Mus musculus: one gene and its partners. The protein of the gene in region 2 purifies or fractionates together with the protein of the main gene of each other region. This does not show direct contact. Links are inferred from orthologs where the notes say so. Each region holds a gene or a part of one and is shown on either strand. Other genes may lie near its edges. The genes, in order: Ikbkg, Fkbp5, Prkaa1, Ptges3, Cdk4, Araf and Nudcd3.

Region 1 (4,023 bases), on a different chromosome or scaffold from region 2:
GGTCTTTACAGATGTAGTTAAACTAAGGATTTCAAGCCAGGCATAGTGGTGCATGTCTTTAATCCCAGCACTTAGAAGGCACAATCTCTGCGAATTCAAGGCCAGCTTGCTCTACATAGTAAGAACCTGTCTCACAAAAATCAAGGCTCTCAAATTGAGATCACTGCAAGTTATATAGGTGGGCCATGAGCCCAGTAACAAGTACCTTATTACTCAACTAGATTGATATAACCACAGGCCAAGAAACAACTGAGCTACCCACAACTATAAGACACATGAAGGATACTCTTGTACAGCTTGCAGATGAAGCATAACCTTGTTCACCTTCTGGTTTTATTCTCCTGGCCTCCAGACCTGTGAGATATCAATTTTCTGTTCTTTTAAGCCACTTGGCCTGTGGTCACTTCTTACAGGAGTCAAGAAAACACAAACACATGATAAAAGAGACTTCAGGAGACCACATTGTACCTGAAAAGTGTTCACTGGGGATAGAGACCTCTTGTGACTTCTTTGCTCTAAGAAGTGTGAAAGTGTGAACTGGGGTGTCCGAGACACATGACCCCTGATCTGCTTATGCTGGCTTTTAAACCAGAGAATATGCAGGACAATACTAACCTGGAGACCTTGTAAATCCTGCCTCATACTGACAACCAGGAAGAGAATGATCTCAATGCAAGTTTCCAGAAGTGGGCTTTCAATAAGGGAGACCTCCTGTAACACTGGGGAATATTGGCTATTTATACTAAAGGTGTTGCTACCCATAGGTCCATCTGCCTGAGCCCACACAACTGACCCTCCCCACTTTTTCACCTACTTTCTTCCTTCAGGTTCCAGAAAAGCCTTCTCTGCTGGTGACTCACTCCCTCAAAGGCTGATGCTGCTCAGGCCCTTTTCCTGAGTCCCCACTTCTTCACGTTGAGGAACTTTGGGACTTCTTTCTTAACTGCATTCACCCCTGCAGTAATTCCATCCGGTCTCATGGCTTTTAACCCAAATCTTAATGTTGATAATATCCCAAACAGTTCTCATTCCTAAATTCCAGATATTTATAAAACTACTTGGATGTCTAGAAGTCTTAAAAGAAGTTGGAGAGATGTCTCAGCTATTAGGAGCACTCAGTGCTCTTCCAGAGAGCCCAAGTTCAGTTCCCAGCACCCATGTTGGGCAACTCACAACCTTTTGTAACTCCAGCTCCAGGGGATTAGAAACTCAAAGGGAAGGGATCTAGAAGAGACTGTTTAAAAAAATATTGAAGTATGGGCAAGGGAGACAGCTCAGTGGATAAAGGCCCTTGCTATGCAAGCCTGGAGACATGAGAACATATAAAGGTGGAAAGAAGATAGCTGACTCAATGTTGTCCTCTGAGCTCTACACATTCTAGCCATGGCACCTGTGCTCCCTGTACAAATCATACATCATGCATGCATGTGGGGGGCACACACACAAATAGTAATTTTTGTAGCATGCCAATTATGTCTCAAGAAAGCTGTTATTGAAAATCGCAATGGGTGGAGCAAGAGAGATAATGGTTCAGGGATTAAGAGCACTTGTTGTTGCAGATGTGGCTCACAAACATCTGTAACTCCAATCCAAGGGGATCTGAAACCTTCTTCTGACTCCCTTGGGCACTAGGAAAGCATAGCAAAGCACCTATACACATAAAATAACATCTTCTGTAGAAAAGAAAATAATCATGGTAAAGGATTGTAATGGGGTGTGGATTAAAGTTAACTATGAGCTGATAGTCACAGCTAAGAAATGTGTACATGGAATTTACTATATTATTATTTCTACTTTTGTACATTTTAAATTTTTTCAGTAATTCAAGGCTGACAGCGCTATCATCTTTCACCTGCATTACTGCAATAATCTCTTTACGGGTCACCATGCTTTGCCTTTTCAATGGCCCTTTGCAGTTAATTGGCCCCACTGGGGCCAATTACCTCAAAAATAACTCAAACTACTTCTCTTCTCTACCATGAACTCTTTCAGAGTTTCCATTTCTCCTAGTGTTAAAAAGCAAAGTCCATACAACAGCCTACAAGATCCTATACCACCTATACTCCCTTCCTTCCTCTCCACCAACTATTCTCCCTTGCCCTCTCTGGTCCTTCCTTTTTCCTAGGAAATGCCAAGACAACACATTCCTTCTCAGGTCAGATAAATGTTATGAGGACAGGCAAACAGATTACTATGAATCATTTGCAAAGTAAACTGAGGTGCAGAAGGTAAGACCTTTAGTTGTGAAGGTACACGTGAAAACTTTTTAAAGACTTCAAATGCACTCAAGTTTGATAAACAGCCTAGCCTGATGGCGAACACCTGTTGCTCTAGCACTCGAAAGGCTGAGGCAGAACTTTGAGTTCGAGGTCTACCTGGCCTACAGTGCAAAACGTGTTTCAGAAACAGTTTGATCAACAGAAAATGTCTGCTACCTAAAGAGTTCTAGCACTAGGGGCCAAGCCCTTAGGCGACAGCTGCAGTGAAGGGAAGGGCAGATTCAATCCGACTAGCCTAAATAATCTGGGTAGCGAATAATTAGAAGCTTGCGGCAGAACAAACTGGGCCTAAGGTGGGGGGAAGGGTGTGGACCTCTGGAGTCTCGGAAGCTACGAAACAGCCACCGATGGAGCCCTGTCTTTGGAGAAGAGGACCACACCTGTCAGCAGAGTCGGCCAGAAGTGAAGAGGGCAGGAGCAGAGGGATCCGACCGCTCCGACAGAACCGGAGCTCCTAGAAAGTCCTAGTCAGGCGGTCACCCTTCCCTTCTCTGCAGTGGAAAACTCCACTTCCGGCTTCCGGTGTCGTAAGTGCGGGATCCGGAAGTAAAACACAGACTCAAAGGCTTGGAGATTAACCAGTGAATCAAAACCCCAAAGTGCCATACTCTGTTCCAAAGAAAAGTCTTAGATCGCCAGCCTGCGTCGGCCAGCAGAACACCAGAGCTCTCCTCACTGATAAACATCACACACTTATACACACACTTTTTTTTTGAGACAGGGTCCCATAAGACCAGGGTCTCGAACTCAGAGATCTACCTGCCTCTTTTTTCCCGTCTGCTAGGATTAAAGTAGTGCGTCACCACGCCCACACTCGCCCCTACCCCATTTTCAAGGCACCGCATCCGCACTAAAACACCCAAGTTTCAGTCTGGTCCTGCTACTGGGCTCTCTGCCGCTGGGCCCCCACCAAGGAAAAAGCCTAGAGGAAGCTGCGAAAGTCCAGCTCCGAAGCCAAACTAGCAGCTAGGGAAGGCGTGGCTATGCTGCTAACGGAAGTGGGGTCATCCGGGAAGGTGCAGGGCCTCGAAGGTCCAGCGGAAAGCTAGGCCATACATAATGGCTGGGTGACACAGGAGACGGGGACCCAGGAGAACTGTGTGGAGCTGCACTTATGACAAGACTTTGCGATCTCGAAATTGTAGGGGCAGCGGCATCGGGGAAGGCCAAAGGGCGGGGCTGGCCAGGGATGCGCGCGCATCTCCTCCTGCAATGATAGACTAGCCCGAAGCTCCTCCCCTCCTGCCTCTCCTGAGGCGGGTCAGCTCAGTCAAAGCACACGCCCTCTTGCGTTAAATGGGCCAGCGAAGCTTAGCCCCCGGAAACTGGCTGTGCGCTACAGATCTGTGAACGTGTTTGGCAGCGGCAACTAAACTCAGGTAAAGGGGTGGTCTGATGGCATGTCGGTGGAGGGACATGCTTCACGCTTGTACGCCGCGAGTCCCTTTGATGCGCGCTAATCTACAAGTTTTTAACCCATCCCTTTGTATCCCGCACTTTCCCCGCATTGGGCCCATGAGGACTAGACCTTTAGAAGAGAAGGGACTTTCGGGGATCACCCAACTGGGCCAGAAGAGAGCCGGAGCTGAACTCCATCATCTGCACAATCAAACGTGCTCAGTTCATTGTGGAGTTTCTGGCAGACACCCGAGTACGATACGATGGTCCCATATACAGAGTGTGATGCCGTAACCAGATTTTATCTAGCTGCCCACAGTGGATGTCCTAGGTGAATTATATTAAA
Region 2 (3,500 bases):
CGTTTCTGAAGCACTCAGCACTCACAACAAAGAATAACTTGACAAAAGAGAAGCATGGGAGGCTCTACCCTAGCCCTCAGTCACCAGTGCCAAGTCACCACATGCCTCTTGACAGGGATGGTGATGATGGTGGTGATGATGATAATGATGAGCTAAAGAGGGCATAGCGCCACGCACAGGGCATTTTCTAATAGCTCAATCTAGTCCCTGTGGGCATAAGACAACAACTATGGGATTCTCTAGCAAATGGAAAGTTGTCTTCAAAAATGTCAAAGTTGCTGGGCGATGGTGGCACACGCCTTTAATCCCAGCACTCGGGAGGCAGAGGCAGCAGATTTCTGAGTTTGAGGCCAGCCTGGTCTACAGGACAGCCAGGGCTACACAGAGAAACCCTGTCTCGAAAAACAAACAAACAAACAAACAAAAACAAAAAAGTGTCAAAGTCACAGGAAACAAAGATGGAAGACTAATTCATTGGAATAGAATAAAGCCATGAGGGCTAAATGCAGCTCCAGGTTTTGAATTTGTATCCAGACTAGAAAAGAAGTTAGTATGGTAACGAGAGTGGGACAGGGGATGGCCCTATTAACTTCCTGGTCTCAACAAATGCCCTGTCTCAAAAACTAAATCAAAACAAAACAAGTTGTTATGAATCACTGACTCTGGAGGAGTTCCCACAGCACAGGAAAAACCCTGGTGTATAGATTTGAATTTTTCATAATAAACGATGAAAACATGTTATGAGTAAGCTTTTAAGTGGCTGTGTCACAGCTGTCTCTAGCCTTTTCGACTTTCATAAGCACGACTCCCAATGTGGGTTTTTGGGGCTCGCAGAGCCTTTGAGACCAAGAAGCCCAGCACAGCCTCAGTCTTGGAAGAAGTGAGGGCGCAGGAGAGGCCCAGAGGTGCAGAGCCAGCCTTAGATCCCAATTTCCTGTTCCTGGTTGAGAGCTTCTTTGTTTAGAACCAATCCTGAATGACATGTTACCTATAACACTGCAAGAAGAAAATAACTAAACCCAAACTAGACTTGTGTAATAAAATATTGGTCTAAATATTATATACATGCTAAAATCAAGAAAATCATTCTAGTTGTTTTAGATAGATTTTCTTCTTCTTATAGACAGTTTAATGACTTTTTCTCTTAGAAGCATGTCTCCTTCCTCAGGGAAGGCTGGCTCCCGGCAGTACTCACTACTCACCTTTTACCGTTGCTCCTTCGTTTGGGTTTGAGTATCCCTCGCCTTTCCGTTTGATTCTACGGATAACGCCTGAATCTTCAAATAAATCCTCACCTTTGAAATCAAGGAGCTCAATCTAGAATGCAAAGATGAAAGCCAGTTTAACAGTTATTTTTATAAAACTTTAAGCTACATCTTTATCTATACAGCTTAGATAAGAGTAACGTGGGACATGAGAGCGATGTACTCTGCAGTTCTTGGAAGGAACTCCGTGTAATGACACCGTCTAGGACTGCATCCTGTGGGACTGCCGTGCAAAGACAGACAGGAAATAGTAGGACAACTGCCTTGTGGGCAAAAGGCCAGGAGGACAAGGTGCTGGCGCAAAACAGTCTTGGCTGACTCTGAGGACAACCGCTTCCCACCCCAGACTTGTGACCTTGCCACCTTAAGATTTAAGAAACTGGCCTTCAACTGACTTGAGAAGTGCTTTCACCGTGTTAGATAAAGATCCAGTTTGGCCAATTATGTGTAATTAATTCAGCGCAGTAAACAATGGACCACGACTCACAGCTCCTGATGGATATGAGGAGACAGTCGGAAACCTTCACAACTTTACACTCCCCACCACCATTTCCAGCCTGTCAGGATGCATATGACTTACTTCCTCTACTGACCAGAACTTTTACTTCCACATCTGTGACTTTTGTTTGTTTGGATATGCCCACTTTGTGCCAGACACATTTCTAAGAAAGCACTGGCACACCCCCTGGATGTGTGGGAAACAATTCAAGAAGCCAAGCTCCAAAATAAATAAGCTGGAGCAGGCTGCCAGCGGCCAGCGCAGCTCCGTGTCATGGCCGCACATGCACAGCACTACACATACTTGCCTCAAAAAAGAGAGTTGCATTTGATGGAATTTTTTGGAGGTGGCCAGCCGAGCCATAAGCATATTCTGGTTTACATAATAAATGGCAGATCTCGCCTTTCTTCATAGTAGACACCCCAATGTCCCAGGCTTTGATAACCTGGCCTAAGAGAAAACAAGAAAACAAAAACAAAAACCAAATCTGTCAAAGAAAATCTTCAAACAAACCCCAGATCTGCCAAATCATAAGAACTGTAACATTTGGGAAGTTTCCTTTCTTGCCAACTTGAGAAACTCAGCTTTACTGCTCTCTTATGGACCTGTAGCAGGCAACCTGTTCAGTGTCAATATTTACAAGTCTTTGTTCTGAAAGTTTAAGACAGCCTCATAATGCAGCACAAGGTGGCCTAGAACTCTGAATTCTGGCAGATGGTGTCTGGGTCTAGGACTCCTGGATGACAGACAGGTGTGTGCACCATGCTTGAGTAATACTCTTATCATGTGCAGCATGAACTATGTCTCATTTAGGGGCTGGAGACATGGCTCAGCGGTGGAGAGCACTGGCCACTCTTCCCAAGGACCCAGGTTCAGTTCCCAGCAACCACCTGGCAGTTCACAGCTGTCTGTAACTTCAGTTCTAGGGGACTGATCCCAGCACTTGGGAGGCAGAGGTGGGTAGATCAAGGCCAGCCTGGTCCATACAGAGTGCCAAGACAGCCAGGACTACATAGTGAGACCCTGTCTTGAAAAACCTAAACAAAACAATACAAACCAACACCTCAATATATGGCAGCATATTATCATTCAATTCTGAACTCCTTTTTATTTAATAGCTTCACTTTCTTTCTTGATTACTAAAGGGAGGATTATGCACTGTAGGGGTTCAAAGTACCAGATTCCAACCTTAGGTTTGCTTTGCAAACCTGTGCAAGTTTAATCTGTTTCCTGACCCAGACAACATAATAACAGCCCCCACCCCAAATGCATGGCACAGTATATACACACAAAGAGTCTGGTATTTAGTAAAGAATAAATTATTTAGTAAAATAAAGAAAAGCTGCTGCCCTCACATTCACCACCACATATAACTCCCTCTCTTTTGGCCTTTTGAGATAAGGTCTTATTACACAGTCCAGCTAGTCTCAACTCGTAATCTTCTACCTCATCTTAAGAAATGAGCCGGGGCTGTGAGATGGCTCAGTGGGTAAGAGCACTGACTGTTCTTCTAAAGGTCATGAGTTCAAATCCCAGCAACCACATGGTGGCTCACAACCACCCGTAATGAGATCTGATGCCCTCTTCTAGTACATCTGGGGACAGACTTATTTATAATAATAAATAAATCTTTTAAAAAAAAATGAGCCAGCGCTCCTCTGTCTCACTCCTGTGTGATTAATGTATGACCTGTGTATGACGTGTGCCTGTGCCCTGGTGCACATGTGGAGGTCACC
Region 3 (3,500 bases), on a different chromosome or scaffold from region 2:
CTTTCTAAATCAGGTTACTCTGGGCAAACATACATAAGCCACAATGGTGGACTCCTCCCAACAACGGCTTACAGTCAGGCTGTGTGTGGCATTCCATTCATCATGTCAGAGCCCACAATGAACAGGCAGAGGGAGGAGTTAAGGAGAAGAATTTATGGTTTTCTTTCCCAAGATGCCCCTTGGGGTACATATCTTTACACACCCAGCCACATGAGTTTATTTGTGAATGGTATCAAAGATCCAAAGGATGGGGCAAGGTAGGGAGAGAATTCATATAAAATTATCTAAAACTCCCAAACACTATAAAAGCATCTTAAGAAAAAAATAGAATCAAAGTAAAAGCAATGGTGTTTATTTCAGTGAAATTATTTTAAATTAGATATATTAAGCTCTTGCGTCTCCCGACTTGGTAGAAAAGTTCCTTTCATGAGAAATCAACTTTAATGGCAAAATTTTTACATATCAGCAAAATCTGTTATATTTAAAACTATGTATACAGTACTTTTCTGTCAAAAACATCACACAGCTTTCAGTTGTCAAGACAAAGTAAAAATATGGTTGCATAAAATCACAAGAAAATATAAATTGCTGAAAAGATAATAAAAAAAAGATTAAAAATCATTTGCATTGACTCCCTTTACATTTTCAGTGTAAGAATTTGCAAACTACAATACATTTGTGAAAATCCTGTCCTGGGCTTGACATACTTAACTGAAAGTTGTCATTTCAGATATCCTAGCTTTTAAAAAATTTGACTGCAATAGTCTGCATTTATCATACTATTTATACAAGTGCAATATTTTAATGTCTTCAAAATAAAACTCGGTAACTAAAAGGAATCACAGAATAACTTATAAAAGAAGCAAAGATTACAAAATTAACAAATTTTAGAAGGTCCTATTTAGTTGGCTCCTCCTTTTGTGCCCCGTCCCCCCAACAGTTTATAGAGATATTCCTCAGTTTTATTTACAAATCTATAACTTTACAAATGCAGCCTTCTGTTCTACACAGCGGGAATACAGCGCTGCATTCAGACAGCATACGTGACATCAGGGAGCCCCACACAGAGGGCACAAACACACAGGTATAAATACAGTCAGGAACTCAGGTAAATGGAGTCTCCATTACTTTATACAGCATTCAATTCGGAGTTGAATAAAACAAGCCCCGAACAAAAAGAAGCATCATTTTTGTCCGGAAATCAGTGCATAAACTATAGCGTCATCTTTTATGCAAGCTATCATGTCCTCCAAATGCGTTCTTACATAAGTGCTGGACAGGTTTGGGGATGGGGCAAAATATTTTTAAATGAATGCAGTGGGGGGAAAAGTCTCTCTTACAAAGGGGGGATGGTTAATGTTTAAAGAAAATGCATTTTGTTTCACGTTGCTGGAGATGACCCAGCCTCACCACTGGGCTAGAGCCTCTGACCAATTTCCTAAACTTAAAGGAAACCAAATATGGCCAATATGACATTAATTATTAGCTCACACAATACCGGCTTTGTCTAGCGTGACTTAAATCTTCACTTACACCCATTATGCTATGCTACCACTAAAAGGAGAGAGGCATATAAATCAGAGATTGAAGAAAAATCACACTTCTTTAGCCACTCATTATTTTGAATTAAAACCTGAAATAAACTTGGCCAGTTTGAAGAAAGGATTTCTTCTACATCTTTTCAAAATAGTGTTATTAACCTGATTAAAGAACTGCAAATAAAATCAGGCTGTAACTTAAATGGAATTCTGGGCAGTTACAGCTAATCTGGAAAACCAGGCACTATCTGGAAATTATTGATTTTATAATGGTTTCAGAAGGTTTCTAAAGGACATTATTATTATTTTTAGGAAGTGCTGAAGTATTCAGGGCTGGTATATATATATATATATATATACCTTAACATCTCAGTGGTTCAGAATAAAAGCAAACATATACTCGAATATATGTGCATATCTGTATATTATACATGTGTGGATCTAGAGAGCAAATATGGCCAAACAGTAGTTGTAGGAGCTAAGTAGTAAATACACATGCAGTCACTAAATTCTTGCAACTTTTCTTTCTTTAAAAATTGTCCAGAATAAAATCAGGGGCTAAAACCCCAATCCTAGCATTCAGAGCGTATAAACACTGTCCTTTCTATGCACTGGATTGGCTTAGAAAATACCAAAGACATTCAACACTGGCTGACATGATAGCGTCTCTGTGCACTGACAGAAGCAACACGATTCACTACAGTGTGAGCAACTCGGCTCTTGGATCCAAAGCAGCACTTCATATATAAAAGGGCAAACCTGAAAAAGTAAATTCAGGGCTTGGAGGGTCTGAACATATAAATTCTGGGGCTTTGGGGGCTCACAAGCCAAAGAAAAATGTTAAATCCAGACTGCTCTCTGAAATGACTTACTACACAAAAATAGCATGTTAAGAGGAATATGGAAATAGTTCACAATGTAACCAAAAATGGAAACTAGTAGCTATTTTGGAAGTTAAGGAGCCCAGAAAACAGCATTATCTAATAAGGTCTATGAGGATTCCAGGCAACTCAATAAATTCATGAAGCTAATATAAAATACATCAACATGTACTAATATGTGAAGGCTTTATGGTAAATTTATGGTCGACTGAGACCTGTTACAGCAAATTCAAATGGCCAAAAGTCAAGTAAGCTTGAGACCTACAGTCCATTGTGTGTGTGTTACGCTGTGTGTACCTACTGAATACGGGATAACAGAGTGATCCTCATTCAATTCTGCACATCAGGCTTTTAACGATCAATCGTTTTCCAGTCCCTGTGCAAACTGCATTCCAAAAGGCCAATCCTCAGTTATATACACACATATATATAACTTGGTAAGTGGAAGTATTTGGCTATTATTTATTATGCATGCTTATTGCATCAAAGAAATAAGCAAAATTTTAGGTTTACTGTGCAAGAATTTTAATTAGATTTGCACACATTTCAAAAAATTCTATTGTATGACTTCCTGGTCTTGGAGCTACGTCGACAGGGGAGGAGTCGAGGGAGGTGACAGATGAGGTAAGGGAGACGTCTGAGGGCTTTCCTTGAGCTTCGGCATCAGAGTCACTCCTTTGGCAAGATCGATAGTTGCTGATGGATCCCGATCTCTGTGGAGTAGCAGTCCCTGATTTGGCTTCTGTAATCTCATCTGGGTGGAAAGAATTTCAATGTTTTATTATCTATTTCTCCCTCAAGTGTTTAAGCAGCACCTAAGTGAGACTACTAACCAGTTCTCCAAAGCACACTGGTTTTATTTACATTCTCAAATAGAGCAAGCGTGCCTTTGTAAAGCACCTTACCACTTCTACACACAGCACAAAAAATACATACAATGGCCAGTCAACATGGGATACATAGTATAGCACTCTTGACTTTCACACCAACTAAGAAACAGTAAACTAATAACCTGTAAATTAATATCACTGCTAGGAGATATTTATTAAAACCACAGACTCACTGGGTAGTGGCAAGCACA
Region 4 (3,500 bases), on a different chromosome or scaffold from region 2:
CCACAATGGGCTGGGCCCTTTCCTATCAATCACTAAGAAATGTACTATAGTATAGGCCTTCTTACAGTCTGATCTTATAGAAGCATTTTCTCCTTTGAGGCTCCTGTCTCTAGGATTGTGTAGAATTGACATGAACTAGCCAGCCACCTTTCTACATCTGTGTTACCCAAAGCTTACTGTATGTAACTGGCTTTCTAATCTCTTTCTCTGTCTCACTTTTTTTTTTTTTTTTAGTTGTCTTGGAGGAAGCGATAATTTTAAGCATTTAAATGAAATTGATCTTTTTCATTGTATCGATCCAAATGTAAGTACCATTGATGCTTTTTTTCTGATTTAAATGATGAGAAGCTGGGCGTGCTGCTGTTATCTTAGGGTTTGTTGCTGTGAGGAAACCATGACATGGCAGTTTTTATAAAGGGAAACGGGCTGGTTTCCAGCTCAAGGATTCAGTCCATTGTTGTCACAGAGGGAAGCATGATGGCATGTAGGCAGATAATTGTGCCAGAGAAGTAACTAAGGGTTCTACACCTGGAGAGGCAGGAAGAGACATCAAAGCCCACCTGAAGAGGCACACTCCCCCCAATAGTGCCACCCTTCTCAACAATGCCAGTCCCTATGAGCCTGTGAGGCCACTTTCATTTAAACTACCACAATAATAAACATTAAATCTTAAATCTGCTTAGCCTAACAGTTTAGACACTCAGCAACCTCTCTTCCTACATATTTTTTATTCTGTCACTGGCAAAATGACAGTACCTTTGAAATCTTTCTATCTTCTATCAGAAATTTTGAGTAGCCAAAAAGCTTGTTTGGAAAGAAATTTTAAAAAATGAATCAGGCTTGTGGCTATAAGCTGAAAGTTTAGGAAGTAGTAGCAACTCAGAAAAGCTTTGCCTATGTAGGAAAACCACCTCAGAGGAAAGAGACAAAACTTTGTGTAGAGGATCCCTCAAACACTCAGGGGGCTAATTGTGGAGGATCTTGGGTTCAAGACTGGGCTGCACAGTAACAACCAAATTATGAAGGTCCAGCTCTGTTACAGAGAACTTTCCTAGCATGTTTCAAGGTCCTAAATATTATCCCTTAGCAGTATGGTGGGAGGGCTGTTTTTATCATAGCAGAGAGATGAGTGATATGATGCTTTTGTTGTAGGATTCCAAGCATAAAAGAACAGACAGATCGATTTTATGTTGTTTGCGAAAAGGAGAATCCGGCCAGTCATGGCCTAGGTTAACAAAGGAAAGGGCAAAGGTAGGTTGGGTTTTTTGTTTTGTTTTGGTTTCTGTTTGATTGTTTTAATGTTTTAAGAATTAAAAATAGGTGTCTTTTACTCCTGCTTCTTTCGCTTGCCTCTTGCCCCTTTGCTCTCCCTTTCTCCCCATTCCGTCTTGCCCCCTCCCCTCTCCAAGTGGTCATGGTTGGCCTCTACTTCTCCACTTTCTCCTCTGCTTTTCTCTGCTTCTGCTATTCTCTTAACTCCCCTCCCTATGTCCTGAATAAGCTCTATTCTGTACTTTAAAAAAATAAAATAAAAATAGGGCAAAGAGCTGGCTAAGAGGTTAAGAGCACTCACTGTCTGCTCTTTGGAAGGTCCTGTGTTCAATTCTCAGCAACCACATGGTGGCTCACAACCATCTATAATGAGATCTAGTGCCCTCTTCTGGCCTGTAGGCAGAATCTTTTTAAGCCTAAAAATACTTTTTTTTTTTTGGCTTTTCTAGACAGGGTTTCACTGTATAGCCCTGGCTGTCCTGGAACTCACTTTGTAAACTCAGAAATCCACCTGCCTCTGCCTCCTGAGTGCTGGGATTAAAGGCGTGTGCCACCACTCCCGGCAATACATTTTTATAATTGTAAAAAAGCTGGTGTTCTATACTTGGCATTCTCATCAAATGTCATAAAATCAGACCGTAGTTGATTAGGATCTTTTGCATTGGAGAGACAAACTTTTGCATCAGGTGTGGTGGCACACTTGAGGCTAAGGCAGAAAGGTTGTGACATCAAGACTAGCTTGCCTGGGTTTCTTAGTTACTATTGATGTGACGAAACACCATTTGAAACAATTTGGGGAGGAAAGAGTTTATTTATATTGCTTATACTTCATATTCTTAGTCCATCATAGCAGAGCAAGAACTTGGAGGCAGGAGCTGCTAGTCCATGGAGGGTGCTGCTTGCTTCTCATGGCTTGTCCAGCCTCTGTTTCTTATAGAACCCAGGACTGCCAGCACAGGGATGACCCCCACCCCAAGTGAGCTCGGCCCTTCAATCACTAATTAAGTAAATGCCTTACATCTGGATCTTACGATGGCATTTTTCTCAGTTGGGTTCCCTCCTCTCAGAGGACTGTAACCAGTGTTGAGGTGACAAATTAGCCAGCATACTGATAAGTTACTTGGTTACTGTAGGGGAGCAAAGTTTAGTGACATTCAAGATTCAAGGAACTGAGGATAGGCTGGCAGGGTGAAGGTGATTAACTGCCAAACCTGAAGGCCTGAGTTCTGATCACAAGATGGTACAAGGGGAGAGTATGTTAGAAACAGGATATTTCTTTGAATTTGAGGCCAGCCAAGTACCTTCATAGTGAGGTACTGCGTAGACTGTAAACAGTGGCACTGGGGTATCTCAGTTGACAGAATACCTAATATGCACAAAGCTGTAGGTTGGAAACAACCTAACAGCATGACCTATAATCCATCTCTAAAGACGGATTAATAGTTGAATGTTAGCCTTTGTAAATTGGATTAATTCCAGGTATCATGCAATACTTCCCAATAAATGTTTTTGTATGAAAGGTTAAATTGGACAGTCAAAAATGATTCCTGGAGCCAGTCTGTGGTGGCGCAGGCCTTTAATCCCAGCACTAGGGAGGCAGAGGCAGGCAGATTTCTGAGTTCCAGGCCAGCCTGGTCTACAAAGTGAGTTCCAGGACAGCCAGGGCTACACAGAGAAACCCTGTCTCGGGGGGAAGAAAAATGATTCCTTGACTTATTACCCCTCTTGGTTTCTTGTGGATTTTTCTTTTTGAGCTGATTTTATGTCTCATTACTGGTTATGAATAACATGGAGGTGATATTGTTGATCTCTAGCTTAATTGGCTCAGTGTGGACTTCAATAATTGGAAAGACTGGGAGGATGACTCAGATGAAGACATGTCGAATTTTGACCGTTTCTCTGAGGTAAGTTTTTTTAATTGCATTTTCTACCCTGTTCCCATAATATATTCTATATAATCCTTTTAATCCCTTTTTTCTTTTTCCATTTTAATGTGTATGGATAGTTTTTGCCTGCATATATGTGTCTGTGCACCACTTGGGACATGGTTCCAAGGCAGAGTCTGAAGGTGGTGTCAGGGTCCCTGGTAATGGAGTTACAGAGGGTTCCGAGCCACTATGTGGTTGTTAGAAATCAAACCCCAGCCTTCTGAAAGAGTAACAGGTGCTCTCAACCACTCCTTGGTCACCCTTTTTGGTTTTCTGGACAGAAACCCATGTAGTCAGGAC
Region 5 (4,297 bases), on a different chromosome or scaffold from region 2:
AGGTCCTCACACTTATGCAAAGGAACTCTACCCACTGAGCCAGTTCCCCAGGCCACGGTATTTCTTATCTTAACCCAATCCCCGCCCAGGTCCAGTACCAGTAGCAGCTGCGCTCCAGACTCCTCCATCTCTGGCACCACTGACTGCACTGGCCGAGGCCCTCTGGGGGCAAAGGCTCCTCGAGGTAGAGATACCTCTCGAGGCCAGTCGTCTTCTGGAGGCAATCCAATGAGACTGTGGGGACAGGACAACTCTGTTAGGAGGGGCCTTTCCCAGCTCCTGTCTCCGCGGCAGCAGGAAATGTCTTTCCTTTTCCTTATCAAATACTTACTCAAAGATTTTCCCCAACTGGTCGGCTTCAGAGTTTCCACAGAAGAGAGGCCTAAGGCAGAAAAAGACTCAAAGTATGTGTTATATCAAAAATAGGGGAGTGGGGGCTGGAGAGACGGCTCAGCAGATAAGACTGCTCTTCCGGAGGTCCTGAGTTCAATTCCCAGCAACCACACGGTGGTTCACAACCATCTGTAATGTAATCTGAAGTCCTTTTCTGGTGTGTCTGAAGACAGTGAGTGTACTCACATACATGGAAATAAATACATTTTTAAAAGAAAAAAAAAATTGAGGAGTAACCGTTATGTAGACCCAACTAGAGAGTGTGGAGACGAGGAACGGGAAGATCCTAAATCCAGGGCATGCCTATATGGTTTCTTGGTTCTAGGCAAGGTGGTCAGTATGAACTGGGTAGGCTGGATGTCCCGTACCATACATGCACAAAAGCGAATGGTCAAGAACAGGCATGTCTGTAAAAGACTTGGGGGCCGACGGAGTGTGAAGTTCAGTGGCACGGAAGCATTTACTGAGTGTGTGTGAGTTCTGATTTCAACCTCTAGCACAGTAAGACAAGCAGCCAAAGCTATGTGCAACTGAAGGTAGGTTAAGAGCTTCAAGTCCCATACGGGCGGTGGTAACGCATGCCTTTAATCCCAGGGCTCTGTGAGTTCAAGGCCAACCTGATCTACGGCCAGGACTAACCCTGTACCATTAACAACAAAAAGTTTCTAGTCCCATACTTCCGACGGAACATCTCTGCAAAGATACAGCCAACGCTCCACATGTCCACGGGTGTTGCGTATGTAGACTGCAGAAGAACTTCAGGAGCTCGGTACCAGAGCGTAACCACCTGAAGAGAATAGTAGAAATGAGTGAGTGTCGACCTCACGAACCAGACCTGCCTGGCTCTGAAAACTTCATGTACAAGACTCCTCAGTTGCTATGGGAAACCACCAAGAGCTACCCCTATCACAACCTAGTCGGCTAACGCCTTTTACTGACCACAGGCGTGAGGGCCATCTGGTAGCTGTAGATTCTAGCTAGGCCAAAGTCAGCCAGCTTGACGGTCCCATTACTTGTCACTAGAATGTTCTCTGGCTTCAGGTCCCGGTGAACAATGCAGTTTGCATGAAGAAAATCCAGGCCGCTTAGAAACTGACGCATTAGATCCTGTTTTTCAAGAAGAAAGCACAGAACACCGGAAACTATGTATCACTTCAAAATCCCAACAACTTCTATTGCAAAGATCGGTCCACCCTCGCCCCCAGCCCCACCCCTACTCACCTTAATGGTCTCAACCGGCAGGCCCGGTGGAGGTGCTTTGTCCAGGTATGTCCTCAGGTCCTGGTCTATATGCTCAAACACTAGGGTGACCTTGATGTCCCGATCAGTTCGGGAAGTAGCACAGACATCCATCAGCCTGAGAAGAACAAATGATCACCAGCTAGTCGTCCCCTTTGTCTCAACGTGGCCTCTGGCGTTCTAGGGTCCCACTCCTGCCTTACGGGTCCTATTGTCCTCTCCGCCCCACTCCCAATCCAACCTTCTCACCGTACAACATTGGGATGTTCAAAGGCCTCCAGCCTCCTTAACAAGGCCACCTCACGAACTGTGCTGACGGGAAGGCCCCCTCCAGCTGCTCCTCCATTAGGAACTCTCACACTCTTGAGGGCCACAAAGTGGCCACTGTGGGGATCTCGGGCTTTGTACACCGTCCCATAGGCACCGACACCAATTTCAGCCACGGGTTCATATCGAGTGGCAGCCATTCTCGAAGCAGGGGATCTACAATCACAGAGGCTTCTAATACCAAACTCACTCTCACGGTTAGGAGGGGGATGACCCGGCGGTAACAAAGGAACTCCTGCACAAGACCTCGCCAACGCGATCAGCAACATCCCACCCCTCCACACTTCCAGGGCCCGCGCCTTAGGTAACACAAAGACTCCCATCAAACCCTCCTCCTCCGGCCACGTTTTGTCCCGGAGGAAGAAAAAGAATGCTTTCTTTCCTTTCGGAGGACATCGCACTAGGCACAAAGAGGATCACACAGTGCACAGGGTTTGCACCGAAGATTCTGCACTTCACTCTCCAAAATCACACCCTTGCCCGCGACCACAAAGGCCCCACTTCCCGCCATTGGGCCACCTTCCATAATCAGCCAGCGACGCGCACGCGTGGGGAGCTGGAGGGTGCTGGTGGTGGCGGGGACTGGTCCCCCGATCCTGGATGAGACTGCACTCACCTTACGCTCGGCTAAGAGCTCTGGAGGTGGCCCTTTATCTGGGCCCGGGAGCCGGTTCCTGCGGCGCCATACACCGGGGATCGGTCCCGGGCAGCTGGACGCTTCGGGCCAGACCATAGACACAGGCCGCGAGCTAGAGAGGCCCCCTCACCCCCACCCTCACCATGTGACCAGCTGCCAGAGAGGCGCGCGGAAACCCGGGGGGCGGGGCGGGCGCCGGACGTTCTGGACACGTGATCTTCACCCTTGCGCAGTGGGCAACCCGGGCTGCTTTGATGGGAGGGGTGTGGTGGGGAAGGGGGCGGGGCCCTGACGGCCACGTGACCTGTTGCTATCCCACGTGACCCCTTGACTTTGCGCTGGGAAGCAGAGGTGTGGTTACGCTGTGTGGCACGTGACTGGCTGCCATACCCTGACTGCCGAGGGGGTGTGTGGGGGCGAGAGAGGGTGGAGCACAAGGCGGTGTCATGGCAACCGGGCCAACCAGCTCTCAACTCTGGGCTCAAGGCCGAGCCAGAGCGCATCTTCAGTCTCACTATGGGTCTCTGAGTGGGCGGGAGGTCGAGGTGTTAGTGGGAGATCCTGGTGCCAGAAATGGTGCTGTAACATTTCCACTCCACCGCCATGGGGAAACATTCGTATTTGTGTCTTTCTTTTACTCATTCATTCAACACAATTTTACTAAGTGCTTCCTTCCAGTTGGTATGCGATGTTTTTGTTTTGGTGTCTCAGTCACTCGCCCTTTGAAGTGATGATAAAGATAACTAGTATAGGTAATTGTGGTCTTATAAAACAGGGAATAAATAATTTCTATCTGAGGAGGAAACTAGGATTAAAAGATGGACAGAAGGAAATATAATAAGCCACTGTATGGGTATGGGGGGGCAGCAATTTAATGCCCTCCCTCTTCCCAACCTGTAAACCTCCCCAGGAATATTAAAAGCAGCAAGAAGTGATTGAAAATAGGGGTTCTTGATTTTACAAGAGTCTTTACACTAAGATTGCTACATATATATGTGATTGCATAAACAGATGACAGGGTAAGCATGTCCAGGGTCAGTCACCACCACATTGCTGGAAGATGACGTGTCCTTTTGCAAACCTGCAACTCCTCGTTGGGGTCATGTTCCTATTTTTTCCCCAGTCCAGCTTAGAACATATTCTTGATCTGATCAGCGTTTCCTAAATGGTCTGCCTACAGAAATCTAGTTAGACAGAGGTAGATCTGTGTGACGATTTCGTCTGCTCCAACTCCTTTATTGTCTCCCACCTCTTAGGGATATGGGATGAAGGACCATGTTCCCATTTGTGAAAAATTGCCTAAAATCTAGAGCTATTTTAAATTGATTTGGGGTGGGGGTGCTGGGGATTGGAGTTAGTGTTTTTTTGTTTGTTTGTTTGGTTGGTTTTTTGGATTTTCGAGACAGGGTTTCTCTGTGTAGCCCTGGCTGTCCTGGAACTCACTCTGTAGACTAGGCTGGCCTCGAACTTGGAAATCTGCCTGCCTCTGCCTCCTGAGTGCTGGGATTAAAGGCGTGTGCCACCACACCCGGCTTGGAGTTAGTGTTTTTATATGCAGTAAGCATGGGTTCAGTCACTGAGCTATATTCCTGAACCCTAAATTCTAAAATCATATTTGAGACACTAGAGTTGAGGCTGGTCTCAAATTAATTGCAATTTTTGTGCTAAAGCCCCTAAATGCTGTTTTTATAGGCATGAGCA
Region 6 (3,500 bases), on a different chromosome or scaffold from region 2:
AAAAGAACTGGCTCCTGAAAGTTGTCCTCTGTTCTCCACATGTACACTGTGGCACACATGCTCTATATACACAGATGATCACAGACAAAGGAATCTTCATATTTGCTGGGAAGATAGCTCCATCAGTAAAGTGCTTAATATGTTTGTGATTGAGTTTAGATTCCCATCACCCACATAAAAAGTAAAAAGCTGGGTGCAGTGGTGCACACCTGTAATCCTAGCACTGGGAAAGCAGAGACAAGAGTGGATTACTGGTGCTTAGCCAGTCTAGGCAGTTGGTGAGGTCTAGGTTTAGTTAGAGATTCGGTCTCCAAAAATGAGGTGGAGCCGGGCGTGGTGGTGCACACCTTTAATCCCAGCACTTGGGAGGCAGAGACAGGCGGATTTCTGAGTTCGAGGCCAGCCTGGTCTACAAAGTGAGTTCCAGGATAGCCAGGGCTACACAGAGAAACCCTGTCTCGAAAAACCAAAAAAAAAAAAAAAAAAAAAAAAAAAAAAAAAAAAACCCAAAGAGGTGGAACACAATCAAGGGAGATAGATAATCCAACATCAACCTCTGGCTTCTCCACCCATGCACATGCACAGTCATGTATGTGTGCCACATACAAAACAATGTGGAGAGTGATTGAAGAATACACCTGACATTGACCTCTGGTCTCCGTTTGTGTGCACAGATGTACATGTACACGCATACCTGTATATTGCCTCTGTCTTTGTCTGTCTCTGTTTCTCTCTTATACACACGCACACGCACACACACACACAAATCCCTGTGTTGAGAATGTTGGTGCATGCCTGTAATCTTAGTACTTGGGAGAAATCCCTGTGTTGAGAATGATGGTGCATGCCTGTAATCTTAGTACTTGGGAGGCTGAGGCAGAAGGAACAACAGTTTGAGACCAGAACTGGTGTGATAATGTAGTAAAGTGCTTATCATGTAAGCAAGAAGACCTATGTTTGATCTCTAGCACCCATGTAAAAGGCTGGGTGTGGCAGCACAGGCTTACAAGCTCAGCACTGGAGAAACACAGATAGGAAGATTCCAGAGGTTCATCAGTCTAGACTAATTGGCATGTCCCAGGTCCCAGTGAAAAATCTCCTGCCTCAAAACCAGTTTATAAAATAATGCATGAACAACTCGAGTAGGTCCTGAAAACAACATCCTAGGTTGACCTCTGGCCTCCACTTAAGTCTTCATACACACGTACTAACACATACATGTATACTTTCACACACAGAAATACATAGATTGTTCAAAAAATCTGGAGTATGTGATGAAACCTAGTCTCAAAAAAAAATTTTTTTTGTGGTAGTACACATGTCTATACTCTTAGCACTTGGTAGGCTGAGGATCAGGAATTTGAAGCCAGCCTGCGATACATTAAACCCTGTTTCAAAAACCAAAACTAGAGCTGGGCGTTGGTGGTGCACACCTTTAATCCCAGTACTCGGGAGGCAGAGGCAGGCGGATTTCTGAGTTTGAGGCCAGCCTGGTCTACAGAGTGAGTTCCAGGACAGCCAGGACTACACAGAGAAACCCTGTCTCGAAACAACAACAACAAAAACCAAACCCCAAAAAACCCCCTAGTCCTTGTGTGTAAGTATGTATCCTCAGTGGTAGAGCATGTGCTTAGCATATGAAAGGTTATGTTCCAGCTCAAGTATCAAAACAAGAAGGGAATGTCCTGGTGCTCTGTTGTCTTCTGTGATCTAAATATTATCCCTGTTGTTTGCATTTGCGTACTCAAACAGTGGTTAATACTTAAGAATGTGGTTTTCTCATAAACTATATTAAAGAGGTTTGCATGTGACAGTTTCCATGAAGTAGACTCAGGTACCCAGAAACAAACTGGAAGTTTCAGAATGTTTACTGTTTGTCCAGCTGTTTTAAGGACCGCTCAGACCATTTGTTCACCCTTTGTGACATCCTCAGAAAGCCGCTGCTGTAATGATAGCAGTTGTATGGTTTGGGAACAAGAGGACCAAAGTGGTTAGAAGTCCTCTTCAAGGTTGTACAATGAGTGACTGGTAAAGGTTTGGGTTGTAACATGGTTTCGGACTCTAGATTCTTTGCCTCTAAGCCTCTCAGTGATTAGTAAACTGTCATCCTCCCATGTCACACATGTCTCTATGTCTTGAGCCTCTCTCTCTCAGTATTGATAAAGAAGGTTGGCTTCCTACTTTGTCATCTGTAACATAGCCACTGCTAGGTATGGTGGCTAATGCCCATGATCCCAGAGCTTGCGAGGTTGGGTCAGAAGGATCACTGAGAGCTTGCGGCCTGCCCAGGCTACTTAGCTCCAGGCCAGCTTGGTATACAACATAAGACCCTGTTCCAAAGCCATAAAAAAATAATAAAATAAAATAGAATTTTGTTGAGGACGGTCAGAACATCAACCTCTACTCAGCTCCCAGAAGCCCATCAAGTCTCACAGATTGCGATCTGACAACATTTGGCCCTGAGCACCCTTGAAGACAAGGTAAGATCGCTTTTCCTATTGCTGAGTAAACACATGACACTTGTTCTATTTCTTGACCCCTTCCCCCAACCTACCCTCCCTGCCTACAGGAAGACACGGCATGTCAACATTTTGCTGTTCATGGGTTTCATGACTCGGCCGGGGTTTGCCATCATCACACAGTGGTGTGAGGGTTCCAGCCTCTACCACCACCTACATGTGGCTGACACGCGCTTTGACATGGTCCAGCTCATTGATGTGGCCCGGCAGACTGCCCAGGGCATGGAGTGAGCCTCACATCTTAGAGACTTGGGGAGGTGGGAGGGATAGCTGAAATAGTCTCCAGACAATTCACTACCCACTTCCATCTCCACAGCTACCTCCACGCCAAGAACATCATTCATCGAGACCTAAAGTCCAACAGTATCTACCTGTCCCTGGCTGGGACTGGGGGTGGGTAGTAATCAGAGTGGTAGTTTAAAGGGATGATTTGGGGGGTAAGATTCTGGAGGTGAAGAGGGAAGGGCCTATATCCTGTGGTTTCTTGCCAGGTAACAGAGCTATACCTGGTAAAGGGCCTTTTAAATGAAGGACCTTTGTTTAGGAGTCAGATGGTTCACGTACTGTTGGGTACTCTGCTCAGGTGAGATGTAGTAGTTGTAGATGACATTACAGTGTCCCAGGCATGATAGCTTTAGGTGTCATCCAGGAGACTTGTTGGTTTTGGGTCACAATGGAACCAAGTGGGGTCCTATCAGTCGTAGATAGTATGAAATGGGGGTGGCTTCTGGCAAGAGACATAACTCACTAGAACAGGGGTTCTGAGAACCATCCAGTAAGGGTATGAGGCATAGCTATTGGGATTCCTTGTAATGGCCCTTGACCCTGCTGGATATCTTCTTACATGAGGGGCTCACAGTCAAGATTGGTGACTTCGGCCTGGCCACAGTGAAGACACGGTGGAGTGGGGCACAGCCCTTAGAGCAGCCCTCAGGGTCTGTGCTATGGATGGTAAGTTGGGCCAGGCTAGATGGGGAGCAA
Region 7 (4,251 bases), on a different chromosome or scaffold from region 2:
AGACCCTGAGTTTGTCTCCTAGAACTACAAGAAAACAAAAGTAAAATCAGTATTTTGCTCTGTGTGGTGGCATATATCTTTACTTCTGCACTTGGCAGGCAGAAACAGGCATATTTCTGTGAATTTGAGGACAGTTTGGTCTATACAGCGAGTTCCAGGGCAGCCAAGGCTGCAGAGTAAGACAATGTCTTTTAAAAAAGTTAATTTGTAGATGTTAGTTAGTCTAGTAGAGATGAAATTCATTAAAATCTTTTTTGTTGTTGTTGTTGTTTTTTTTCCGGTCAGGATCTCCTTGCAGAGCCCAAGTTGGTCTTGAACTGGCTATGTGGATGAATAAACATTTCTGGTTCTGTCGCCACCTTCCCAGTGCTAGGTTTACAGGTATGGGTTACTACACAGTTTATACAACATTCAGGACACATTAGTCACACATGTGGGTTACTACACAGTTTATACAACACTCAGGACACATTAGTCACACACTTTACCAATTTAGCTACATTGAATGAAAAAAAAACAAAAAGGAGGACATGATGGCTTCTAGGTATGGTGGAGGAGGTTTATTGTAGACAGGAGGGAGCAGACAGCCAGAAGCAGAGGCATCTGGGAGAATTCAGGGTGGAAGTGGCTGTAGAATGAGCTGGGCCATGTGAGAAGGGTTAGGGGAGAGGGTAGAAGAGACCTGGAGTCAAGAGGCCAGGAGACCAAGAGGCCAAAGGGTAAAAAGGACCTCATAACCAAAATGGCTGGGTTACATAGGAATCAGAGAAGCTTGGGGAGGAAAAGGCCAGCTCAGACTCTGGACTGGAGAAGTTTAGGGTAGAGGTCAGGATTAGTATGCCAGCCAGAAGGATCCTGTACCAGAAGGTACTGAGGGAGACTGGTGGCCAGAGTCTGCTTTGATATTTTATTAGGCATCTCAGCCATTTGTCTTCGGTTTGTGACCTAGCATATGTTCCTAATCTGTCTGTCTTTCGTCTCCCCCCAACCCTCTTCTGAGACTGGGTTTGACTCTATAGCCCAGGTTGGCCATGATTTGGATGCGGGGATTACAGGTATAAACCACAGATTGATTGTGTGTCAACCTTACATAAACGTTTTCTTAAAATGTCTATATGCACGTATTAGTAACGGCACGTGTATACACACATGCTATACATACGGATGCACACACACATATTTACAGTATCATACTTCTTTTTTTCCTTCACTGAGCTTTTCACACTTTTCTTGTCCTTTCAAGTCACCTTGAAATCTGGTGCAACCTTCTGAGTTTCACTCATAGCTCTGTTAATAGGAATTCCATACAATTCTACAATATTCCTTTTCCGTTCCCTCCGCTAACAAACAAAATGTGGTATTATAAGAAGGCGCACCAGACACCTACGCAGGAATTCAATCCAGAAAGAAGAAAGGCTCCCAGACCACGTGACACCTCCAGGGACTACGTCAAGTGGCCGTCACCACAATGCTTCCGCCCTCTTCAAACATGGTTGGCAAGCGCTCTCCGCATCGTGACCATGGTTATTCTTGCATGTAGGAACCGTACTGAGCGCATACCAATCTCCTTTAGGCAAGTGTCGCGGCGGAGGAGATCCAGCAGAGCCGCAAGAACGACGATCGGTTACCGCCGGTAGTAACAAGCGCGGACCGGAAGTTCCGCGTCTTCGCTGTCCGGGGGGAGCCGTTAGGCGCGCACGCCGGAAGTGGCCAATCAGCCGGTGTGAGGCGGTGCCCACTGTGTTCGCGTCCCTCGGGCAGCAGAGCCATGGAGCCCGGGGCTGCTGAGCTTTATGACCAGGCCCTGTTGGGCATCCTGCAGCACGTGGGCAATGTCCAGGACTTTCTGCGCGTGCTCTTCGGCTTTCTCTACCGCAAGACCGACTTCTACCGCCTGCTGCGCCACCCTTCGGACCGCATGGGCTTCCCGCCCGGGGCCGCACAGGCCCTGGTGCTGCAGGTGAGGTGGAGAGAGGCGGCGGGCCGTTGGGGTCCAGCAGGTCCTTACCCCAGTTCCACCTCCCAGCGCCAGAGGTGCCCCGGCTCGCGTCCTACGTCTGGGAACTGCGCCACTCCGTAGCCCACCCTTCAGGGTTTGTGATTCTCTCTGGGGTGCCACCAGGTGATTTGAGTAAATGGCCAGGCGTTATCTGACCCACGGATCCGTTGGCAGGAATGCGCTTCTTTGGGTACAGGCTGGGTTTGTGCGGGAGATGCTTAGGTGTTGGACCTGTCAGCCTGGGTTTGAGGGCCTCCCAGCGCCCTGTGGGCATCCCCAGAACGGTGCAAGGGGCTTGTTAGGCAGGGTTCAAACCGTGCAGGCTGTAGGAGGAGGACTTTCACAGCGGGAGAAACTAGTAGATTTCAGAATTCCCGGGCTCGGAGGTGGCAGGAATGACTGGTATGTATTGATTGGTGGGTGTGGCCTCTTGCCAGTGACTTACTAAGTTGGTGGACAATTGTAATGTTTACGAAATTTACATTTGGATTAAAATTTATATGTCCTAGGTTATATTTATTGTTTTTGAAGCGTTACTAATGACTGACTCAAGTTGTTTGGACACCTTTTTAAAAACTGTTTTCTTTCGAGACAAGATCTTGCTGTGTAGCCCTGGTTGACTTGGAACTTGCCAGGTAGATCAGGATGGCTTCGAACTTATGGTCCTCCTTCCCGACGCTCCCGCGCTGGGATTGTTGACATTGTTGAGTTAGTAATAAGCAAACATTTAATGAATATATTTAACACTCTCAGCTGCGGTATAGACTCTGATGGTATGGATATTTAAATAATGGTCTGTCTACTTTTGACACTGTACAGAGAGTAAAGCACAGACACTAATAGAGAGCTCTGCTAGTTCTCTGTGTGGTAGAGCTCTTTGGAAGGAAGTGATAGAAGTGGTAGTTAGGAAATTGAGACAGTTTTGTAGGAGACGTTGAAGTAGGTTTTGAGGGGCGTGTAGAGTCTGATTCACAAACCTATAAAGTGCTTCATGTCACCTTTGCTGTTTGTTGACCCCTGCATCAGCCCCAGACAGGGCTTTCCTGTGTAGCTCTGAAGTCCTGGAACTCACTCTGGCATCAACCTCAGATATCTGCCTAGGATTAAAGACTCGAATTGCCACCACCTGGCTTACCTTCCATCTTAATCTGTTCTGTGGGCTTGTCAGGGGTTACTTTCTTCAGTTCCTCTCAGTGGAAGAAGCCAAAGCTTAGAATGTTCTAGTAACTCTTAACATAATGACCATGAGGTGATCAGTGGGAAGGTTTGCTACTGAGTTTCAGTTTCAGAATGGAAACCGATGAGTCCCTGGGGTAGCTCATCCTTATCAGTGGCCCAAGTGCTGCTGGTTGAGTAATTGGAGAGGGTGAGAGGTGGCACCTTGTGTTTCTTTATAATGAAGTCTTGCCACCTGATCGCCATGCTCTCTGAATCTGACGTAGTAGTTCAACAAGGTTAGATGACAACAAGAACTTCACTCTGTTTCCTGCAACTCAGGACTTCAGTTTTCTAATTCCAAATCTTTTTGCCCTTTTTGTCATTTAGCCACTCCATAGTATGGTGAGAACTTTTGTTTTGGTTATGAAAGGAGGAAAGAGTATCCCAGTGGCTGGCTGGCATTTGAATTTCTTCTGTATAACATCTTATTTTAGCTTTAACACAATTTGAGAGGTTGGTTCTTGTTTGTCTGATGAACTGATAAAGGCAAGATAGATGCACTTATCGTACAACTTTATAAAACAGCTACCTCTGAAAGGTTAAGATAGCTCTATAGGTTACAGTGTGGTGCCCATGCTATGGGAGGTAGGGAGCCGAGGAAGGGACAGGGTCAACCAAATATTTCAAGGTTCCAAATCTGGGTAACTGGAAGAGTGAGGTCATTAACTGTATTGTCACTTGGATTTGGGGGGTGGGAAAGTTTTAGATAAGTTGAATTTGAGATCGCAGACAGGTTCTGGCTTCAGAGCTGTTGGAATGGTAGGACTGGATCTTGCAGGAGATGGAAGGACTGTGAAGTCTGAAGAAGAGCCCAGTGTAGAGGACAGCTGGGGAACGGTCACCGTAAGGGGCATTGGGTTCTACCGCAGCCAAGGTTACAGTCCCAAGTACAGGTTTAAGAGTTGTTTGTTCTTACCCTTTCTCCAACCCCAGGTGGTTCTCAACCATCAGCCTTGACCGAGAGCCCTTTTATCTTCTCAGTTTCTTTCTTTTGTGGGGTGGGAGGTTGAAGACAAGGTTTCTCTGTGTAGCTT

Evidence for each region.
Region 1: the proteins of Fkbp5 (region 2) and Ikbkg purify together in Homo sapiens (affinity purification with mass spectrometry; 3 studies listed by BioGRID and IntAct, with this or other methods). This does not show direct contact. The link is inferred for Mus musculus from reciprocal best matches to the Homo sapiens genes FKBP5 and IKBKG.
Region 3: the proteins of Fkbp5 (region 2) and Prkaa1 purify together in Homo sapiens (affinity purification with mass spectrometry; 3 studies listed by BioGRID and IntAct, with this or other methods). This does not show direct contact. The link is inferred for Mus musculus from reciprocal best matches to the Homo sapiens genes FKBP5 and PRKAA1.
Region 4: the proteins of Fkbp5 (region 2) and Ptges3 purify together in Homo sapiens (affinity purification with mass spectrometry; 4 studies listed by BioGRID and IntAct, with this or other methods). This does not show direct contact. The link is inferred for Mus musculus from reciprocal best matches to the Homo sapiens genes FKBP5 and PTGES3.
Region 5: the proteins of Fkbp5 (region 2) and Cdk4 purify together in Homo sapiens (affinity purification with mass spectrometry; 3 studies listed by BioGRID and IntAct, counting the BioPlex papers as one, with this or other methods). This does not show direct contact. The link is inferred for Mus musculus from reciprocal best matches to the Homo sapiens genes FKBP5 and CDK4.
Region 6: the proteins of Fkbp5 (region 2) and Araf purify together in Homo sapiens (affinity purification with mass spectrometry; 4 studies listed by BioGRID and IntAct, with this or other methods). This does not show direct contact. The link is inferred for Mus musculus from reciprocal best matches to the Homo sapiens genes FKBP5 and ARAF.
Region 7: the proteins of Fkbp5 (region 2) and Nudcd3 purify together in Homo sapiens (affinity purification with mass spectrometry; 3 studies listed by BioGRID and IntAct, with this or other methods). This does not show direct contact. The link is inferred for Mus musculus from reciprocal best matches to the Homo sapiens genes FKBP5 and NUDCD3.

What each region holds. Positions count from the first base shown.
Region 1 is NC_000086.7:74,428,458-74,432,480, reverse strand, and holds the start of Ikbkg (NF-kappa-B essential modulator), read right to left. Parts: upstream 2,801-4,023; 5' UTR 2,660-2,800; exon of another isoform or gene 815-2,659; intron 1-814. UniProt on the Homo sapiens protein: Regulatory subunit of the IKK core complex which phosphorylates inhibitors of NF-kappa-B thus leading to the dissociation of the inhibitor/NF-kappa-B complex and ultimately the degradation of the inhibitor.
Region 2 is NC_000083.6:28,427,150-28,430,649, forward strand, and holds part of Fkbp5 (peptidyl-prolyl cis-trans isomerase FKBP5), read right to left. Parts: intron 2,215-3,500; coding exon 2,072-2,214; intron 1,318-2,071; coding exon 1,203-1,317; intron 1-1,202. UniProt on the Homo sapiens protein: Immunophilin protein with PPIase and co-chaperone activities. Component of unligated steroid receptors heterocomplexes through interaction with heat-shock protein 90 (HSP90).
Region 3 is NC_000081.6:5,178,361-5,181,860, reverse strand, and holds part of Prkaa1 (5'-AMP-activated protein kinase catalytic subunit alpha-1), read right to left. Parts: intron 3,174-3,500; coding exon 2,929-3,173; 3' UTR 1-2,928. UniProt on the Homo sapiens protein: Catalytic subunit of AMP-activated protein kinase (AMPK), an energy sensor protein kinase that plays a key role in regulating cellular energy metabolism.
Region 4 is NC_000076.6:128,068,982-128,072,481, forward strand, and holds part of Ptges3 (prostaglandin E synthase 3), read left to right. Parts: intron 1-234; coding exon 235-304; intron 305-1,152; coding exon 1,153-1,251; intron 1,252-3,086; coding exon 3,087-3,176; intron 3,177-3,500. UniProt on the Homo sapiens protein: Cytosolic prostaglandin synthase that catalyzes the oxidoreduction of prostaglandin endoperoxide H2 (PGH2) to prostaglandin E2 (PGE2).
Region 5 is NC_000076.6:127,062,038-127,066,334, reverse strand, and holds the start of Cdk4 (cyclin-dependent kinase 4), read right to left. Parts: upstream 2,801-4,297; 5' UTR 2,576-2,800; intron 2,116-2,575; 5' UTR 2,100-2,115; coding exon 1,882-2,099; intron 1,751-1,881; coding exon 1,615-1,750; intron 1,501-1,614; coding exon 1,333-1,500; intron 1,181-1,332; coding exon 1,071-1,180; intron 383-1,070; coding exon 332-382; intron 235-331; coding exon 99-234; intron 1-98.
Region 6 is NC_000086.7:20,855,043-20,858,542, forward strand, and holds part of Araf (serine/threonine-protein kinase A-Raf), read left to right. Parts: intron 1-2,569; coding exon 2,570-2,746; intron 2,747-2,835; coding exon 2,836-2,882; intron 2,883-3,351; coding exon 3,352-3,470; intron 3,471-3,500. UniProt on the Homo sapiens protein: Involved in the transduction of mitogenic signals from the cell membrane to the nucleus. May also regulate the TOR signaling cascade. Phosphorylates PFKFB2.
Region 7 is NC_000077.6:6,197,652-6,201,902, reverse strand, and holds the start of Nudcd3 (nudC domain-containing protein 3), read left to right. Parts: upstream 1-1,451; 5' UTR 1,452-1,768; coding exon 1,769-1,960; intron 1,961-4,251.